4 linked regions of the Schizosaccharomyces pombe genome follow. The gene in region 2 interacts genetically with the main gene of each other region. Each region holds a gene or a part of one and is shown on either strand. Other genes may lie near its edges. The genes, in order: btb1, but1, atp12 and trm82.

Evidence for each region.
Region 1: mutations in but1 (region 2) and btb1 together harm fitness more than expected from each alone (negative genetic interaction), as found in Schizosaccharomyces pombe (one large-scale study listed by BioGRID).
Region 3: mutations in but1 (region 2) and atp12 together harm fitness less than expected from each alone (positive genetic interaction), as found in Schizosaccharomyces pombe (one large-scale study listed by BioGRID).
Region 4: mutations in but1 (region 2) and trm82 together harm fitness more than expected from each alone (negative genetic interaction), as found in Schizosaccharomyces pombe (one large-scale study listed by BioGRID).

What each region holds. Positions count from the first base shown.
Region 1 is NC_003421.2:129,370-136,067, reverse strand, and holds btb1 (BTB/POZ family ubiquitin-type ligase substrate adaptor Btb1), read right to left. Parts: upstream 4,674-6,698; 5' UTR 4,552-4,673; coding exon 508-4,551; downstream 1-507. Other genes in the region: sdh3 (succinate dehydrogenase cytochrome B subunit), read left to right, coding at 1-111; mRNA 5'-cap (guanine-N7-)-methyltransferase Pcm1, read right to left, coding at 5,055-6,137. UniProt on the Schizosaccharomyces pombe protein: Probable substrate-specific adapter of an E3 ubiquitin-protein ligase complex which mediates the ubiquitination and subsequent proteasomal degradation of target proteins.
Region 2 is NC_003424.3:4,532,807-4,536,371, forward strand, and holds but1 (thioredoxin family protein But1), read right to left. Parts: upstream 1,582-3,565; 5' UTR 1,443-1,581; coding exon 711-1,442; 3' UTR 520-710; downstream 1-519. Other genes in the region: dynactin microtubule-binding subunit, p150-Glued Ssm4, read right to left, coding at 1,868-3,565. UniProt on the Schizosaccharomyces pombe protein: Acts as a negative regulator of the NEDD8 pathway. Has a role in meiosis.
Region 3 is NC_003424.3:1,486,286-1,490,134, forward strand, and holds atp12 (F1-ATPase chaperone Atp12), read right to left. Parts: upstream 1,906-3,849; 5' UTR 1,771-1,905; coding exon 1,002-1,770; exon of another isoform or gene 953-1,001; coding exon 846-952; 3' UTR 578-845; downstream 1-577. Other genes in the region: SPOM_SPAC9.11 (uncharacterized protein), read left to right, coding at 1-577; cwf16 (splicing factor), read right to left, coding at 2,485-3,297. UniProt on the Schizosaccharomyces pombe protein: Essential for the assembly of the mitochondrial F1-F0 complex.
Region 4 is NC_003421.2:1,976,556-1,980,912, reverse strand, and holds trm82 (tRNA (guanine-N7-)-methyltransferase subunit Trm82), read right to left. Parts: upstream 2,393-4,357; 5' UTR 2,019-2,392; coding exon 1,339-2,018; intron 1,266-1,338; coding exon 680-1,265; 3' UTR 548-679; downstream 1-547. Other genes in the region: rpp0 (60S ribosomal protein uL10), read left to right, coding at 132-284; rRNA processing protein Utp23, read left to right, coding at 2,612-2,699, 2,812-2,901, 3,086-3,690.

The sequences.
Region 1 (6,698 bases), on a different chromosome or scaffold from region 2:
CACTTGATCTGGGATACCACCAAGGAGTTAAGTCTAAAGGGTGTCTATCGTACCGGTTATGCTGTTCTTGCCCTTTCCGTTTTGACCTCTGGCTATTTTGCGATGATTTAGGTGAATGGAAACAAACCTTATCTTTGCTCGTTTTGTAATTGCTTGTCACGGTTTCTCTAGTGAATTTACGAAGCAGCATCATTTCTCCTATAATTTTTCCACTACAATTGGATCTGTCCTTGATACACTATAAATTACCGTGTATATCGAATTCTTGTATTCATTCCGTACGTGCTTTGAATTTCTTTATGACCAAAGTTTCCTATTCAATTTTATTATTTTCAAATATTGAATTTTTAGCGTATGTAAAATGTGTGATTGGTATCGTGAAACAAAAGCTTAATAAATAATTCACCATGTAGCAAATATTTTTTCTTATACATATCTATTAAAGTATCTCTTCATAAGTTGAATAAATTAATGTCCTGAATTTTTTGTATATAGTCGTTGTTATGGTCATTTGACTGCACGTGCTTTTCCTTTCTTGTGAGTAGTCCTTGGTATATCAATAGGAAGAGATTTAAACTCCGCAGTGGACTCTGACACTTTGGAATCTTTTTCCTTTCTGTGCCTTCGTTGAGGTTGTTTAGAAGCTTGTCCCTGTTTTCTATTCGTAGAGGTATCTCTTTCAGTTTTAAGGATTCCAAGTTCTTTCTGTACTCTCAAACTCTCCTCCTCCCACCACTTTTGAAACTCCTCTTCCTGTTGTATCTCCTCAATTGTTTTTCTAAAAGATGATCTCCTCTTTTGACTCTCAATTTCTTCTTTCTGCTCAGTCATAATCTCCGAAATCGATAAAGGTTGGCTATTTTTTGGTAAAGAAGCAGATCGGGGAGATGGTTTAGTAAGTAGGTTCCAACTAGTTGGAGAACCATTGGAAATGCGCTTCTTCGATTCTTGATAAATTACTTGAGATGAACCTTCCTCTCGAGCTGCCTCTCTAAGAATACCATTAAATGACTTTTTCACTCCAGTTGATGACGAAAAACTGCCCCTCTGATGTGTTGCTACAGACCAAGGGTTTGAGTGATTCGATTTACCCAACTCGATATCGATGTGGCCAACATTTGTTTTGGAAATAGGCACTTGCTTTGAAAGCTCCTTTTTTTTCTCACGTTGGGATTTTTTAGTTGGAGCTTTCATAAATCTAGAATCAGACAAAACCGTAGTAGTTGAAGCATCAGCTTTCTCTTGCTCCAGCAATTCTCTAAGACTAGCTCTAGTAGTGTTGTTATTATGAGAAAGATTTTCCCTATTCCTCCATGGACTCGTTTTGTCAAAAGTAATTGTTGCAGTAACAGGTTGATCAGCCCCAGGACCATTTAATTGTGTTTTATCCCCTCCTGACGAAGCAGACTCTATATTGTTTTGAATTTCAACAGAAGCTCCTGCTGTCTTTGTAATGCTCGTAACGTTAACAACATTTGGTTTAGGAGACTTCTCCTCAGCATCTTCCTTATTTAATGAATCACTTTGATTACTTGAAGGAACAATTCCAGATTCTAAAATTACTGCTGAAGTGCTGCATCGACGATCTTCAAAAATAGACCGATAAGGGGAATCGTCCCATAATTGAGAACTTTCCTGGGAAAACAAGTATTCTCTGAGAACTTTAAGCTCATAATTTCTTTTTTCCATCAACACTGGATCTCTTATCAATAATCTATTAGCAATCTTGCTAGAAGGAAGATGTACTCGTTGATCAGAAAGCAATTCAGTTAAACGTTGAGCGACTTTTTTTAAATGGAAACCATCCCATTCACTTATACGATTTGCTTCCAAAAAGAATTCAATATTGTGACAAGCATAATCAATACATCGTGAATAAAGCTCCTCAGCGTGATAACTAAGTGAAAGATCCATTAGAGTAGGTAGAGTTTTCAAATTTAAAAAGCGAAGTAAGGATTGCTGGGCTATGCTTTTTAGTTCAAGAAAAAGAAGCTCGTCTGCAATAGACAAAATTTCGAACATAGTTTCCAACCAATTATGAAAATCGGATTCTTTCAAATCGTCAAAAAGCTCAACTTTTAAGTCACTGTATACATGACGAAGAACAATTGACATATGCTCAACAGTCAAATGAGACAAATTGACGGTTATTGGGATGTCAAAACTATTGCTTTCCATAGAAACAAATTGGAAATAAGAACTAAAGTATTCACTGCGGAGACTTAAAAAAAGACCATGTGCCTTGAGCTCTCCATCTTTAAGCTTTATTACTGTATCCATTGTTTCTTCGCATAAGACATAAAAATTATTATATAGTTGCAGAATGTCATTCGTTAAAGAAAGCAAAGGTTGGCGGGAAACACTAAACGGTAAAACCTCCGCTAAATGAGGTAACTCCAGTAAGTTTGCAAGTTTTGAAAGGTTTTCTTTTAAAGGTGAAAAGCGTGAATCAAGATGCCATGGAGAAAGCAATGTATCCGTGTACAAATAATGCAAAAGAATAGCAACCGCTAAAGGAGGAATATCTTCAACTCTAATTGTTGAATGAGATTGAGTGATTTCTTCAATGTAAATGATGTTGGAGACACTCGATTTCTTTTTTTGTAGCAATAATTTTCTCAAAAATGAAGATCGAGCACACAATATGAACTTATGTGAGTGGAACATAGAAGTACCACAATAAATAGTAACATCAGAAAATGATTGCTTATAATTTTCATAACTAGTAAGAATCGGTATAGATCCTTCAAAAAGTAGCTGCATCTCATTGCTGGATGCAGCGCGGTCTTCGTCAAAAATAGGGACTCCGTCTTCATCTTCGGGAGGAATCAAACGTGGTTGTCTTACATGTAAAAGGTGGTCATAGGGAAGTAGTGAGCGCAAAAGATCAATTAACATATTCGAAGGCTTGTAGATTGGCGGTGGAAGATAATCATTTCGAATTGCAAAAAATGATCCAGAAGCGCTCGCACGGACTCCAACAACCATTTGTAAATTTTCAATTCTATTATATTTGTATGGTCCTCTAGAATACGGGCTACTAGATGACTTTTCTCGCTTTTTTGACCTTAACTCCCGTTTCCAACAAGTGCCATTTCTAGTACATAGTATTAAAGAATTATCAGCGGTCCACGCAATATCTAAAGCTGCAAGGTCTGAAGATTCAAAAATCCATAATGGAGTAAATTTGAATGAAGTTCGTGTGGAATTCTTGGAAGAGGTAGAATCACGATCAAGTAAAAGCTTCATATCAAATTCATAGACTTCGCCTAGTTCTGTAAGCACGGCTAGTTTGTTTTCTGAAGCTAATAATTTTCTAACGTTAAATCTGGTGAGGGAAAGAGGATGCTTAGTTACCTTTAACGAACTACCAAAGTCAACGTTGAATGGCAATTTCACTTGATTATAATTGCAAAAGGCAATTATACTGTTGTTTTGTAAAAGGCATATCGTAGCACGAGTAGTACAAACGGCATGTATGACAGGCGATAATAAGCCAGCAACTCTCCTTGGAGTAGAAACAACTGAAATATGATCAGATATACCTAATTGGCCATTATTTAACCCCCAGCTGTAAATATCAGTGTCAGTCCAAGCAACGCTATAACTTTTTCCAGCCGCCATTCCAATTATCTGATAATCCTTGAATGCAGAGATACGCCTAGGGGTAATTTGAATTGGATCATCCTTTTTCAGTTCGTCATTAGAAAGTCCCAGTTCACCAGAACCATTCTTTCCCCACGAATAAATACTTCCGAACTTTGTAAGAGCAAGTGAATGGGTATGACTAACAGAAATCTGGATAACTTTATGAATGATACCAGGAATAGGAATAAAGTTATATTGAACGTCCGTGTTAAAACCTATTCTCCCTCCAGCACCAATACCACATACGTAAACATTTTGCGACGGCTCATCCGTTAGTACGACGCTGTGAAATTTGGAAGCCTGCACATCAAGGATTTTGTCTCGGGAAAAGAGTTGACCTGATGTGGGAGACTCTGTTTGGTTTTTCAGTAAAAACACTCTTTCTGGCGATGAAGGTTCTTTCCCATTTGCTATTCCGAGCGTATTGTTTACGTTAGTACCAAAGCCATAAAGTTCATTTCCTATTATCGGTAAGTCAAGAACCGGATGAATAGTGCTTGAAAGGACTCGTGATAAAAATTGAAATGGAGAAAGACCTTCTTTGTCTTTAATACGCAATGATCTGAAGGAGGGATCTTTTGATAAAAGCAAAGACGCTGCTTCCAAGTTGCCAACGTAGATTGCCCGATGCAACGCCGTATATCCAGATTCTTCATCTTGCACAAAAACATCAATGCCTTTATGCTGCAAAAGAGATCTAACAAAGGAATTTTTATTCTCAGAAACGGCGATGTGCAGCACGGTGCGTCCGTATCGATCTTTTTGGTTGATACGGAGTTTTTGTCCGCTCTTTTCCGAAAAACCCTTTCTAGGCTCTTTCACCTTTGAATCATCTTGCTTCAGTAGATTTTGGAATGAGCGAATGTCGTTGCAAAGGTAATACGCGAAAAGCAGATGACTCATTTAATCAATCGAGACTAAAAAAGGGCGCAATGTGAATTTATCATTTAATCAATCGATTACTCCATAAGAAATTTTCTCTCAAATCAATTAAAACGTTCCAGTTTTTTAACTTGACTGTTGCTGAAGAAAAAATGGAAGAAGAGTAGCAGTGGATGCTGGTAGTTGAATACCGACAGGTGCATTGATTTAAGCTATCGCTTAATATTTGAGGCAATTTTTGGGGCAATCTGATTTGATGAAATATGCCTGGGAGCATACTTTATTTATTCGCTTAAGCTGGAATGAAAGAGAGCATGTTACTTATGTATAAAATATATGAAAACAGAAAAAGAAAGAATAAAGGCATAAAAATGAATAAATAAATAAAAGTCATTGCCATCAAAAATTAATCTACATCTTTTAAAGTCATCTTTTTTTCTACCACTGTACTGATCTTTCGAGCGTGAAAGATCTTTCTACAATGCGGTCTGCACAGTGAATCAGTGGGATAAGGAAAGAAAAGACTAAATTCCCCTCTTCTCAAAGGCAAATGCTAAATAAAATCCTGCTGCTTCTTTTTCCTGTCCACCAATTCCACGGTGTCCTTCATTATCAACGACTTTCATTCGATCCATTAGGGGTCCATACGTTTCAGAGTTTTTCTCTTCATTTAAGATGTCCAAAAAAGGTTTTACCCATATTAATTCAAGATTGTATCCTTCGGCAACAGCACGAAAGGCTTCAAAAGGAACTACATATTCAGGAACATCGGTAACAGCATCCTCTAAATAAAAATAATATTGAATTCCATACGGAGGTCGAAAAGAGCGTGGAGGTGATTCAGGAAATCTGACTTTGTATATGTCATTTCCCCATTCTTTTTCTCCTGGTTTAAGCATTTTAATATGTTTGACAATTACATCGGAATTGGGAATCGTTCCTATCATTACTCCACCACGAGGAAGGCATTTAGAAACGTTCCCCAACAAGACCCTAACCTTTTCTTCGCTTTCAAATGCATAATGCATGCAAAACTGTAGAGAAACAACGTCAAATTTTCTTTGGTCTGGGGGAAGTAATTCGTTAATTGAGCTAGAAAAACAGTCGCCAGCGTAGAATAGTGCATCAAAAGAAGCATGCATTTCACGGTATCTCTTCTTGGCCTGATTTACGGAAACTTCAGCTATGTCAATCCCAATATATCCATCAATGCCAGCTTTGTCCCATTTAATTAAATCACCACCTTTTCCACATCCCATGTCTAGTACCAAAATAGGATAATCAGAAGCATGGGGTGCGAATTTTTGTATGAGAACAGATTTGATCCAGTTGTTAAACCTCTTTAGTTGAATAATAGGAGAAAATTGTCGTTTTTTATAACCCAAATCAGGACGCGCGTTATAGTGTGAACGTACCACATCCTGCGCATTACCATTGTTTTCATGCCTATTATAACCTCTGCGACCAGAGTTGTCATTGTTTTGGAAGTAATCGCGACGCCTTGGTTGTTGTTCAATTACTCGATTCATTTGTGCAGTAGGTCTCGCATATCTGCGATTTTCTGTTGGAGGCTGTTCCTCATGCACTCGGGAGTTCGAGCTGCTCATATCTCTTATTATAAATATTATTATAAATAAATGAGAATAGTTTCTTTCAAAGGTTAACGATCTTTCCATCATATGATGACTATCCATCGATCACAAACTTACATACAAATAATTTTCTTCAAAATAATTCAAAAAACAGAAACTTCTTTAAAAAAGATCAAAAACATATGACTTTTAAAACTTGCTTTACTGTCTTAGAGAAATTAGACTATATTCAATAGCATGAGGTTGCAGTGTGGTTGGTATACTGGCGAGAAAAGTAGATGTTGCAATACGAAGTGGATTACCAGATTCTTTACATTACCACAGCTAAGATATATATAATTTGTTGACAATGTTTTCAATTCAGCCAAATTTAGTTTACATATAAAAAACGAACCTGCTTCTAAATAAATAAATAAACAAAACTTGAAATTTTGGGCGACTAATCTACTACTGCCAGATTGCAACAAGAAGTAATCATAAAACAATGATAGATACATAAAGTAGATATTTCATTAAATTGCTTATTGCTTACCTATTAAAAACCGAAATTAATTTTTTGAGCACACGAATCCATCG
Region 2 (3,565 bases):
ATAATTATATTTCTTAAATATATATAATTATAAAGATTAGTTTACAACGATCTCCTTTAGTATAGGGGTAGTACACAAGCCTGTCACGCTTGCAGCCCGGGTTCGAATCCCGGAGGGAGAGAATATTTGATTATTTTTAATTTTTGCATTTTTTTTATTACTCAAATTTTGATTACTTTTGTTTGAACAAAATAATACTATAGAAGCCTGCACTGTCATTTTTATTTGAATAGAGGAATTTAAACTAAAATCTATCAGCTTGGCTTTGTTCTGAAAAAGTAAATGCTTCAAAAAGAATATGCCAAATTATTTATTGACTGATTGAAATTGATATCGGTGATGTTTATAATTTGATAATCAGAGTTGACTTTTTTATTTATTTAATTTATTGGTTCATTGATTTTTTTTGTTAAAGATATCATAGTTTAATAAATTATTCCTTACACTTTTTTTTTTTTTTTTTTTGAAAAATTTAATAAATACCCATCCGTACCTTATCGTAAATTTTTGACAGCATAATTTATGGTACATTGTAATTTATTTTGTGAAATATTAAATATATATATATGTATTTATAGAAAGTATTTTCTATTCCATTGAACCCATGTTTTGTGGTTTTATGTGTGACAATATCATCAACTTTTGCTGAAACGTAAAAAAATTTTTGTTTGTCATTTTTTTTTTGAACGAGTGATCATCATAGAAGGCTTTTAAAGCAACCTTCCATTTTCAATTGCCAAAAATCGAACAGTTTCTTGAACTGCTGTTATTAAAGTAGATACACAAGTGGTAGTACGAATGGGAAGGATGTCGCGTCGACGCCCTATGGAATCTATAATTACAATTGCATCCAAAGCTAATTTTGCTCCTCCAAGAGGATGCAGCATTCCCATCTCTCTACAAATTTCATTGTTAGAATCCGAAATAACTGGTAATGAAAATTGTAGAGCACGAGGCAGATGGGCTTTCCATTGACATATATTTTCAACCGTATCAGTAGTGATACCAATCACATCTGTGTTGTAGGATTGCAGACATGGATAAAAGTGACTAATGACAGATATGTGAAGTGGGACGTTGTCAACATAACCATAATCACCGCTGACATTACCAAAGAAACAGAGAACAAATGAAGAGAATAGTATAGGTAATTTATGAATTTCATTTATTCCACCGATACCATTTACAACGTAAACGGGTTTGGAAAGATTAATGAAACATGGTTCAAATACTACTTCCATATCTTCTTCCCTAATGACACGTGCATGGTTCATTCCGTTCCTAAACGAACTCTTTATATGGGGATGCATACCACGCGTTTCTTCATCTTTCGTAGAGCTTCTTCTTTTTTTTGTAGATTTAACTCTTAAAGTACAATTTTTCTCGTGAACAGCATCACGAGTCGAAATGGGAAACTGGAAAAGGTTTTGGTCGATTTCCATTTTCTAACCCTTTCTCTGCAAGAAGGTGAAGAAACGCTTGATACGCTTTAATAGAAAAAAGGTAACAAAAAAAAATAATATCGCTACCGTGCAATGTGAAACAAGCAGTTTCCCACTCTTAAAGTGGTTGGTTTAGGGTAAGTAAACTTGTTTATTTACATGATTCTCACGTCGACAATTAATCTTCAAAGTCGATCTAATTGGCCAAAAGTACGTTAGTTTAATACAAACATGAACCAATCAAATACTCAACCCCATATTTCGTTAATGCATAACAGGTCACAAAAGAGGTTACAAGTCGATCTTAAACTTAAAGCAACACCATACAGTACATTAATGATAAATTCGTTAAAATATGGCAGTTAAGATTAGAAGCTAATTTTCGGCGGCTATTAATAAATTGAATTATATATCTCATTAAAAGATTAGCATTTTTTGGAAAGAATGTCTGTTAACTGACAATAATTAAATAGCTGTTGATTGTGATGAAAACTGGGTCGCTCGATATCTTTTTTCCAATTCAAGGCCAGCTGCTTTTCTACTGAAACGGGTTTAATATCTGCAACTAATTTTCTTATCTCCTTGCAGGCAAAGGTCAATGGGCTTGGAATTGAGTTTTCAGTATTAGAATCCCGTAAACTGTGTTTGAGCCAGTCTATATTTTCACTAGTATTGTCACCTTGTGGATATTTATCGGCCAGTTTCATCCTTGCGGTCTTTAGCTGTTCTCTTAAATTACAAAGATTTTTCTCATACTGTGTCTTTAATGTTTCAAATTCTTTCAATGTTCTAGAAGTGATTTCAGAGTTAACTTCATTCTCGTATGATTCAATTTGTTCTTTTAAACGTTGGTTCATTTCTGTAAGGTCGTCTTTCATACTACTTTCCTCCTCCACTTGTTTTGATAGTTTCAATTTTGCACTGTTTAACTCGTCTATTACAATATTTGCTTTCTCAAGTTTTGCATTTAATTGCAATAATTCCTCTTGAGAGTCTGATAAGCATAGTTTCAAATGTTTAACTTCTGTCAAAGCAGGTTGAGAAGATATTAGTAACTGAGATAGCCTTTGAGTTTCCTCTTGCACCTCATTTAACTTTTCCGATTGTCTTGCTTCTATTTCAGTGTTTAGCTGATTCAAAGTTTCCAAGTCTTGAATTTCTTCTGTTAGTTTTAATACTTTATGAGACAACAAAGCATTTTCCTCCAACAGTTGCCTTCTTGTCTTCACACCATCCACTGAAGAGTTGTTGGACTTTAAGTTTAATAATTCTTGATAAACTGTGCTATTCCAATGTACAAAATTTTCATTTGTTAATGAAAATTGTAAATCCAAACTTCCCGGTACAATATTTAAGTATCTATTCACGTTAGATATTGTCAATTTCTCAGAAAACGGGTTTTTAGGAATTTTTACAAGCTCAGTTATGTCGACCTGAACCTGTTTTAATTGCAAAACCTTAGAAACCTCTGAGACCCCAAGGAGACTAGATGGTGTAACTTGTGTAGTCCAGTTGTCCTGGCTTTTAGGAGTTTTGGAATTCAAACTTCGATCAGAGTACTTATAATTAGGAATCTTTCGAATTTGCAACTTTCGCTTTCTTAGATACTTTATTTCTTTCTGCATAGCCAAGAATTTTTTGAGAAACTTTTCACGCCTAAAATTCCGAGGTTTTTCAATACTGTTTTTACTGCGAAGGAATGTCAACTGAGGTTCAACTTTCTCTAATTCCTTATTTAATTTATCAATTTTTTCTTTTAAGGCGGTATTTTCACACATCAATTCATCCAAACGACCCTTCCTTAATTCTGACTTTAAATTCTCTTTTAAATAACTTCCCTTTGAATGAGGAGTAAATTTTTTTTCACATTCCTGCAAAACGTTGTCAACTTGCCATACAAATTCCTCTTCCATAAAACTACTATCGTCAAGCCCAGACAATTTGCTCGTATCTGAGTTTAACAAAGTAGTGTCAAAACTTGATAATTCTTCTGTTGAAAAATTTAGCTCATCTAGATTTTCAGTTGTAGATGAAGTATAAAACGTAGCTGTCTTTGTGGGAGTAGACGAATCAATAGGTGTAATGCACAATGGGCGTGCCAATGATCTTTCAAATTTTGAGGG
Region 3 (3,849 bases), 3.0 Mb from region 2:
AGATATATCCTACTCTAGCGTCAACTCTCTATCTCCAAAAAGACGAGGCATCTCTCTTATGTCCATTGATGCTAACAAATTGAGTCCTAAAAAAACTTCCCCAAATTCTGGATACATAACATCTCCTTTAAGGCATCCGATTTTACTTTCCGAAACAGAACCTGGAACCCCAACAAAAAATGATTCACCTGCTTATATCGGATTACCTTCACAACCCAATAGTATAACTACTTTGAATAACACTAACCAGAAATTCCAAGTTCCTGATAATGACAAACCACCTATGTCTTCATTAAATGAACTATCTGCATCCTACAAGCCTATCGTATTCGACTCTTCGCAGCATAAAACTCAAGGCACTGACAATAATGACTCTTTTTACCACGACGATACAAATTGCATTCATCTTTCACGTTTAGAAAAGATTCGGGAGCTTCTCACATTCGTACAGTTGGAACTTAAATATTATGTAGAACCTCTTAAGAAAGAATTACAAGAGACAAAGACTCTATTGGCTCAAAAGGAAGAAGAGATATCTAACCTAAAAGATAAATTACAAAATGCAGGATTATCTTAATTTATTCATTTACATTGATTCATGAATTAATTTTGGGTACCTTGTCAAAACAATTTGGTCTGAAGGATAACTGACATAATAGCTCAGCATATTCGACATGAGGAAACTAATTTAGAATTCTCTGTTCAACGACGGCAACATTACTCTATAATTCTAATTTGGCAATGTGCAGTGTTTTAAGTAAACAGTTGTAGGGTTCTCTTAATTGAGTTCACCCAGAGGGAGCTATTCCAAAAATTTTGTAATTTTTTGAGTTTGCGTATAGCCGTTAGTGGGCATGTTCATTACTTTTGTCATGCATGTCTTCTATGCACCGTGAGAGTATTGCCGAGCTGGCCAACTTATTCTTAAGATCCTCATTGTCTATTTCGTGAGCTGCAGTTGTAAGTATTTAACATTAGAATAATAGAGAGTTTATACATACCATCTTCCAAAGAGCCCCATCGATTTGTTTGGTACTGAAGTTCTAAGTTCGTCAAAGCGGCAGCTTTTTCAGAGTTCAAATATCCTTTTAAAATCATGAAAGAAACTATGAAGCTCTTGCAGCAACTAACAGATCTTTCAAAAGCTGCTAGTTGCCAAGAGTTCAGCGAGCTGAGCCAGTTTCTTATGCGTTCGTGTGTTTCCTGCGTTTGTTTATGGGCAATAATACCAGCATCACCATCCAAATAGCTTAATTGCACACCAAGTTTGTTTTCAAAGGTTTCTTTCAGTGGCCACCAATTTTCCTTTTGCTCCTCCAACAATTTCCCTTCATATTCTGTTTCGGGGGAGTAAATTAGAATTGTGTCGGTGTCAAGGAAACGAATTAATTGAGTAGAAAGTAGTTCCTTTTCTTCTTTTTTGAATTGTGATATGTCAATAGCTCTCGAAACTAGGGAAGTAATTGGGAGATTGTGTTGTCGAACAGAGGTTGATGGTAATCGATCCCATTCTAGGGCAATCAAGTGTGCTAGTAACTCCATTTCTTTAGGTACCTTAACAATCTTCCCAGAAGGTGATTTTAAATTTCGTCCATCTAATTGAATCAAGACTTCTCCATTTTGGATTTTGGTAGCTGTATTCTTCCAAAATCTCCTGAATGATGGTTGCGGCAAAGGAGAGGAAGCTTTTGTAGAGTAAAACGAATAGCACGTTTTAAATGACAGCAAGTTTTTGCTGGATAATCTGTAAAATTGTAAAGATCGAAGCATCTTACAAAAATAGAAAAAAAAGGGTATTCAAGGTGTCTATCTGAGACACTAAAAAATCTTTCGTACTTCAAACTGCCAAAATTTAATTTTTAATTATTGTTTAAGAGTTAATTATTATGATATACGTTTTTAGTTGGTGTTCTCCAAAATATTGGTTACTATGTAAGATGAGTCTAACAATATTTTGTCACAGGCATGATGAGAATAAGTTTTAATATTTTTTTCTAAAAGTAGTTTTTAATTAAGCAAGAAAAAACTCTTTTAAAATAAATTAATAGACGTTCCTATCATAGTTCCTAAACCGTTGTTTACGTTAGCCGCCTTGAATTTAGCTACGATTAAGACTACTTTTTGACAAACCGTAAATGTAAATTGATAAATTACAATTAGATACTCGGAAAATTAGAAGGAACCTTAAAAAAAATCAATTAACATGTGCTGTTAAAAACTTAAAGTTGAAGAATAGATACAAACAAAATAAAACCTTTCTATAAATGCTACGGTATTATTCTACATAACAAACTACATTTACTAATCGAATAATAAAAATTAGAACAGGATATTGACTATCAACTCGCGTTATGAAAATCCATCAAAAACTCATTAAATATTATTACAATAAAAACCTTGCGCTGGTACAAAAGAACATGTACATTTTTAATAGCTTAGCTATAAAAAATGCAAGTAATTAAAAAATTTAGCCATTTATAGACGTTATACCAAAACCTTTTTCTTCTCCATTTTCCTTTTTGCATATTTTGGAGGCTGAAAATTCGGTATATTGGAAGTGGCCAGCTTCTCAGAAACCAAATCTATAGGTTTGGGTAATTCTTTTTCAACCGTTGTTTCTGCATTCAATCTTCTTATAATTTCACCATCCTGAGACGAAAACAACGATTTAGCTTCACGATCAATTTCTTCTTCCTCAAATTTCCGCTTTTTGGACTCCTCTTCTTCAATTGATCCATATGCATCTTCCTTTAAGAGAGCGATTGCATCATCAATGTTAACTCGAGACCTTCGAGCGCTCTTTTCACGTAGTTCGTCGAGTGCATCACTAATTTGCATTTGTCGTTTAGTGTCTAATGTTTTTTGTTCTAATTTTTCCATTTCGTCCTCCTCAGGAATGTCATTGCGTTCAGCTAACTCATTTTCTTCATATTCTTGTAATCTTTTTTCATGCCACGGCTCATAATTCCTGGAAGCTCCACTCTCTGCTGCATAATCTGCATGTTTTGGATCGGTTATAAATGTTATTTCAGCAGCACACCTAGTGCAGCGAATATAAAACCTCAATATATCAATTGAAAAATATTTTTCGCCGGTTTTCTCCTTCCTAGCGTTAAACTTTTTTCCTTTATATATATACTCTCCACAAGTATGACAGCGCATTGAAAATGGAGTCATCAAACGAACAGTCAATTTCCCACCATTTGGTCCTTGAAACTTTTTCTTTTTCTTAGGAGGACGAATGGAAGGATCATAATCGGGCGGGATATACTTGTTAAGTACCTTTCGTTCAGACATTGTTGGAAACTATGAAAAAAAAATGAAATGAACGTACGAGAATTGCTTTACCAAATTCAAAAAAAAAGAATAAATTAAAGTAAGGAAAATTTAACCGTCCTTTTGGGTTGGAATTATTTGACTTTACAGATGAATTTGAAAATGCTAGTTTTATGTGGATATGCGCTTTTTGTAAGCGAATGGCAAAAGTACTAGTACTATCTGTAGTTCTTTGACACTCGATACGTCGCGGTAATAAATTGAATGCGCACATAGCACTACGTAAACATATTTAGTACCATCCTTATATTTCCTTATACAATACCTGAGCTGAGCTATCGAGACGTGAGCAAGCGTTGTTTGTCAATCTTACACCTTCCGGTGTTTTAAGAGTACTTTAGATTCCCTTATAAATTGTGTATTATTTAAATGCTTCTGATTAATTTTGACTGATCAGTCTCCATAGTACTTTACGCTTACAGCAATAGACAATTAATGGGGTTGTTGGCATTAATGGCAGGAATAGATGATTTATATGAACTTGGTTAAAAATCGCTGTATTTCAGCTTATGT
Region 4 (4,357 bases), on a different chromosome or scaffold from region 2:
TTATTTTAACTCGCTAAATTTTCATGAGCGCAAAGTTTAAACACTCTAATTTTTTGCTGAACGCTTGTATACAATTAAACTCTTTGAATCATTAAATTATTTTTGTACTCAGTTCACTAACTTTATTTTAGACTAAGGCTTTCCTTGCTGATCCCTCTGCTTTCGTAGTCGCCGCTGCTCCTGCTGCTGCTGCTGGTGGTGAAGCTGAGGCACCCGCTGCCGAGGCTGCTGCTGAAGAGGAAGAGGAATCCGATGAGGACATGGGTTTCGGTCTCTTCGACTAAGCTTTTTTTGTTAGATAGCACTAATGGATGTATCTCGTGTTCTTTAGGCCTTCTAAAAACAATTTGCCGTTGCAAGTATTATGTAAAGTATTGTCGTAGCATGTAAATGGAAGGAATTGAATAAACGATTAATTTTACTTCTTCAAATTGCTGACGTTGCACAACTGAATAGCAGTTGCACTTATGCAGTAGATACAAGTTGCGTTTATTCGCATAATTATTAATCGCTGACTGTATTTATACTTCAAAATTCTGGGTTTCTCCAAAGAAATTAAATGCTCTCCCTATTATACTTTAATGTCACAATCATTTTTATTCATATCTATTTTCCATATTTACTGATGCTCCCACTTTTCCCAATTATTTTTTTTGAGCCGGTCTCCCTAAAATGAGCTTTAATTATCTTTAGATTCAACGGATGGCGAAGATGTACCGGTTTCAACACTGCGAATGAATTTAGAGTGGTTCTTGCGTAATGTGTGAATTTGAGCGAGCGGGCAGAACGGCTTTTCGGTTGATATTAAACCATCAGATTCTATACGCTTTATTACATCGGGTTTCGTAAGAACAGCCGCATTCCCTTCATCAAATTTCACGCATTCAAAACATGCACCAAATGTAAAACTAGAGTCCAAAGAAATGAGAATTTGATCAGTATCCGTGTCAAGCAAAACAGCGTCAAGAACAGGCCCTGACAGCTTCAAAGCAGAATGAAACAACAGTCTCTTTTCAGGTGTCACCTTCGCGAAGATAAGACCCGCCATTCCTTCACACGCAAAAGCAACAAGCTGGCGCTTAAAAATAGGAAGAATAACTGAAACCACCATTGGTTGATTTAATGAGAGATAAGTGGAAAAGGCAGATCGTAGATCGAATGCATCCAAACATTTGAAATTCTCTAAATCCCATACGAAAACGTGATTATCTCCACCGCCAGATATTAGAGTACGATTGTCATATAAGGACATCCTAGATACAAAACTAGGAAAAGGCGTTAGTGTTATTTAAAAAAAAAAAAAAAAAATTGATCAACTAAAACCAAATGAAAACTTACTCTTCATGACCTAAGCAAAACCCTTCAATGACAAATGCATTGGGAAATCGGGAAATACGAATATGCTCGTCTTTATCTGAAGTAATGATTATTTCTTCTTTAGAATTTTGTGGATTTTGAGCAACTATTAATTGAGTTAAGATCGAAACATGCCCCATAATGGGTTCGAGTTTTTGCAATTTCGAATCCTTTAAAGTGTCATTATTAACAGGTTCTTGTTTTCCTTCAACCACATTTGACTTTTTTTCTTCGGTAACTTCAGAAGTAGTAAACCAATTTTCGTCTACACAATAGACATCACCAAACTTATCACCAAAAACAATTTCGTTTGAGCCCGCAAAGCACAAGTCAGCACATCGCTTTGGTATGTTTTTTTGATAAAGAAGTTCAATTTTATCAGGCTGAGTGCTATCCCAAAGGCGCAAACATTTGTCTTCACTAACTGTTGCCATACGAGAATAGTCTTTAGAAAATGCGACTTGACGAATCGCTTCTCCATAGGCAGCTGCCTCTCTATGTTTTTCATTTATATTGTCTCTATAACAATGTTCAAAAATTTTTTCCCCTGTAGAGCATGAGAACCCCAATAGATATGGACCTGAACAGCACACGATGTAATTGTGTTTAGAATTCCATGTTAAAAATTGACAAGGGTGCTTAAAAACTCGCTGTTCACTCATGTTTTTATTGATTGATTCTTAAGAAAATAGAAGCAACAAAACAAACACTTCAGAAATAAACCTCTAATTTTTGGATCCGAATATATTTACAATTTTATAAAAAGAAGAAAAAGAAGCTTTAGAAGAAAGAAAGTAATAATGACAAATCTTTCAAATAATAAAAAGCAAAGCTTTAAAATTATTTACGCAGTAGAAATGAAGAAAAAGTATGATAAGGGTAAATAATAGACTGAATCCTCTTTCTGCTTAATACCGTTTCCTTACAAATTTATCTAAATAGAGAAATAAAAGAAGTATACACTCAGTTCGAAGCCAAGTATCTCACTTAAGTTAAATAGTTAAAGCGCCCAAAATTTTAGTACGTGGGTGAACTTGGAAAGTACAAACTAGTTGGAAATTTCCTAATAAGAGGATTTCAGCAATATTAGGGTTCCTGGATACTTCTTTTAATACGATTGAATTTATTTTTTTAATATTTCTAATAGTAACAAAAGACTTTTCGTTTTTGAGCGAAAAAAAAAATTCTTAAAAAAACAAGTGATCTAAAGCATATTAAGTCTTAGGCTGTGTGACGCACAGAAAAGGGCGTAAATATGAGGCAAAAAAGGGCAAAGAATTACAGAAAGCTGATGCATACGTATCAGCTTTTATTTGGATTTCGTGAACCATATCAAGTACTCGGTATGTGGTACAGAAAATGATGCTTGTAAAGATGCATCCTTACCCAAGTTCTAATTTGCAAACAATAAGCATTTTCTTTTTGGTGATGTTATTAAACTAACATGATTTTTAGTGGATGCAGATTTCCTAAAAGATTTATCTCAACAAAAGATTGATATACAAGCTGCATTAGCTAGGACTGTTCAAGGAGCTATAAAACCTAGTAAGTTTTGTTTATAAGTGTTTTCTTTTACTGGAAAAAAGGGCGAACCCCCGGAATATGAAACAGAACGGAAAGTTTAATTATTCAACATAGTATCTTTTCATCCGGGTCTGGTTTATTATTTTCTTTCCTTATGTTCTCCTTGTAAATTATTATAACTAACGGATTTACTAACTGACTATAGTGATTACTCAATGTTGTATTCGGCAATTGTACAGTAAATCCGATGAATTGAAGCAAGAAATTCGTATCGCAAAGTCTTTTGAGCGAAGGAGGTGTGGTCATATTGATGAAGCACTCTCTCCTTCAGAATGTATTCAGAGTGTAGTCAACATTAATGGTCGGAACAAGCACCGCTATGTTGTTGCTACCCAAGACCCCGAGCTTAGGCAAGCTCTTCGTTCGGTCCCAGGTGTTCCACTTATATATATGAAAAGGTCAGTTGTGATACTAGAACCAGCTTCACGAGCTACGTTATTAGAAAAGCACAACAAAGAATCCGTTCAGATGGGCATGTCAAAAGAGGAAAAGTTGTTATTATCCGGAAAAAAGCGTTCAGCGAATGAACTGGCTATCGATGATCAAGATACCAAGGAAAGTACGGATTTAGCGGGAACAGAGGATTCTGCTCCAAAAGCCAATAAAAAACGCAAGGGTCCTAAAGGGCCTAACCCTTTAAGCATCAAAAAGAGATCATCAAAAAACCATACAACGGATGAACCTACTTTACCTGTAAACATAATAGGTGATGTTGGTGAAAGAAAAAAACATCGTCGGAAAAGAAAGTAGACTGCTTATTGTTGGAAATTAGCATATGTATATATTTAAAAATAAAATTTTTCGGGATAGGTTTGCCTACAAGTGTTGTCTACTAATATAACGCTATCATACATACAATGTTTCTGATTCAACCCTTCCTGTGTAAACAATACTTTCAACTAACGCTTGTGGCTAAAGAAACGAAGAAAAAAAATTGGGTATAGGCACAATGTAAATATTTACGATGTAATCATCACAAATGTAAAGTTGTAAACCATTTTTCATCTAGATTCAAAGTCGTTTAAAGCGAAAGAGAAAAGGAAGCAATTATCCAAGCGACCTAAAAAAGCAGTTTCAACCAAATTTAGCTTAAAGAGAAAATTGAAATTTTTATTCGACTAAATAAAAGGTTAGATTATCTTAAAAAGATTTCAATCGTTGATATATTAGGGGAGAAACTGTAAGCCCAGTTGTGAATGCTAACGTATTTCAGTAAAAAAAATATCGCAGTTTACTGGCCTAAATACATACTTTGCTAACAGTTTTCTATTAACCCAACAGGACCTTAAATCTCTGCATTCTTTGTATTGAAAAGATCATACTGTTCGTGGATTTGCGCGTTTATGTAACGTTAAACTCGAATAATTTGCATTTGGCGGTCATTTTCGTTCTTGCGATTGATACAGATTCTGAGCTT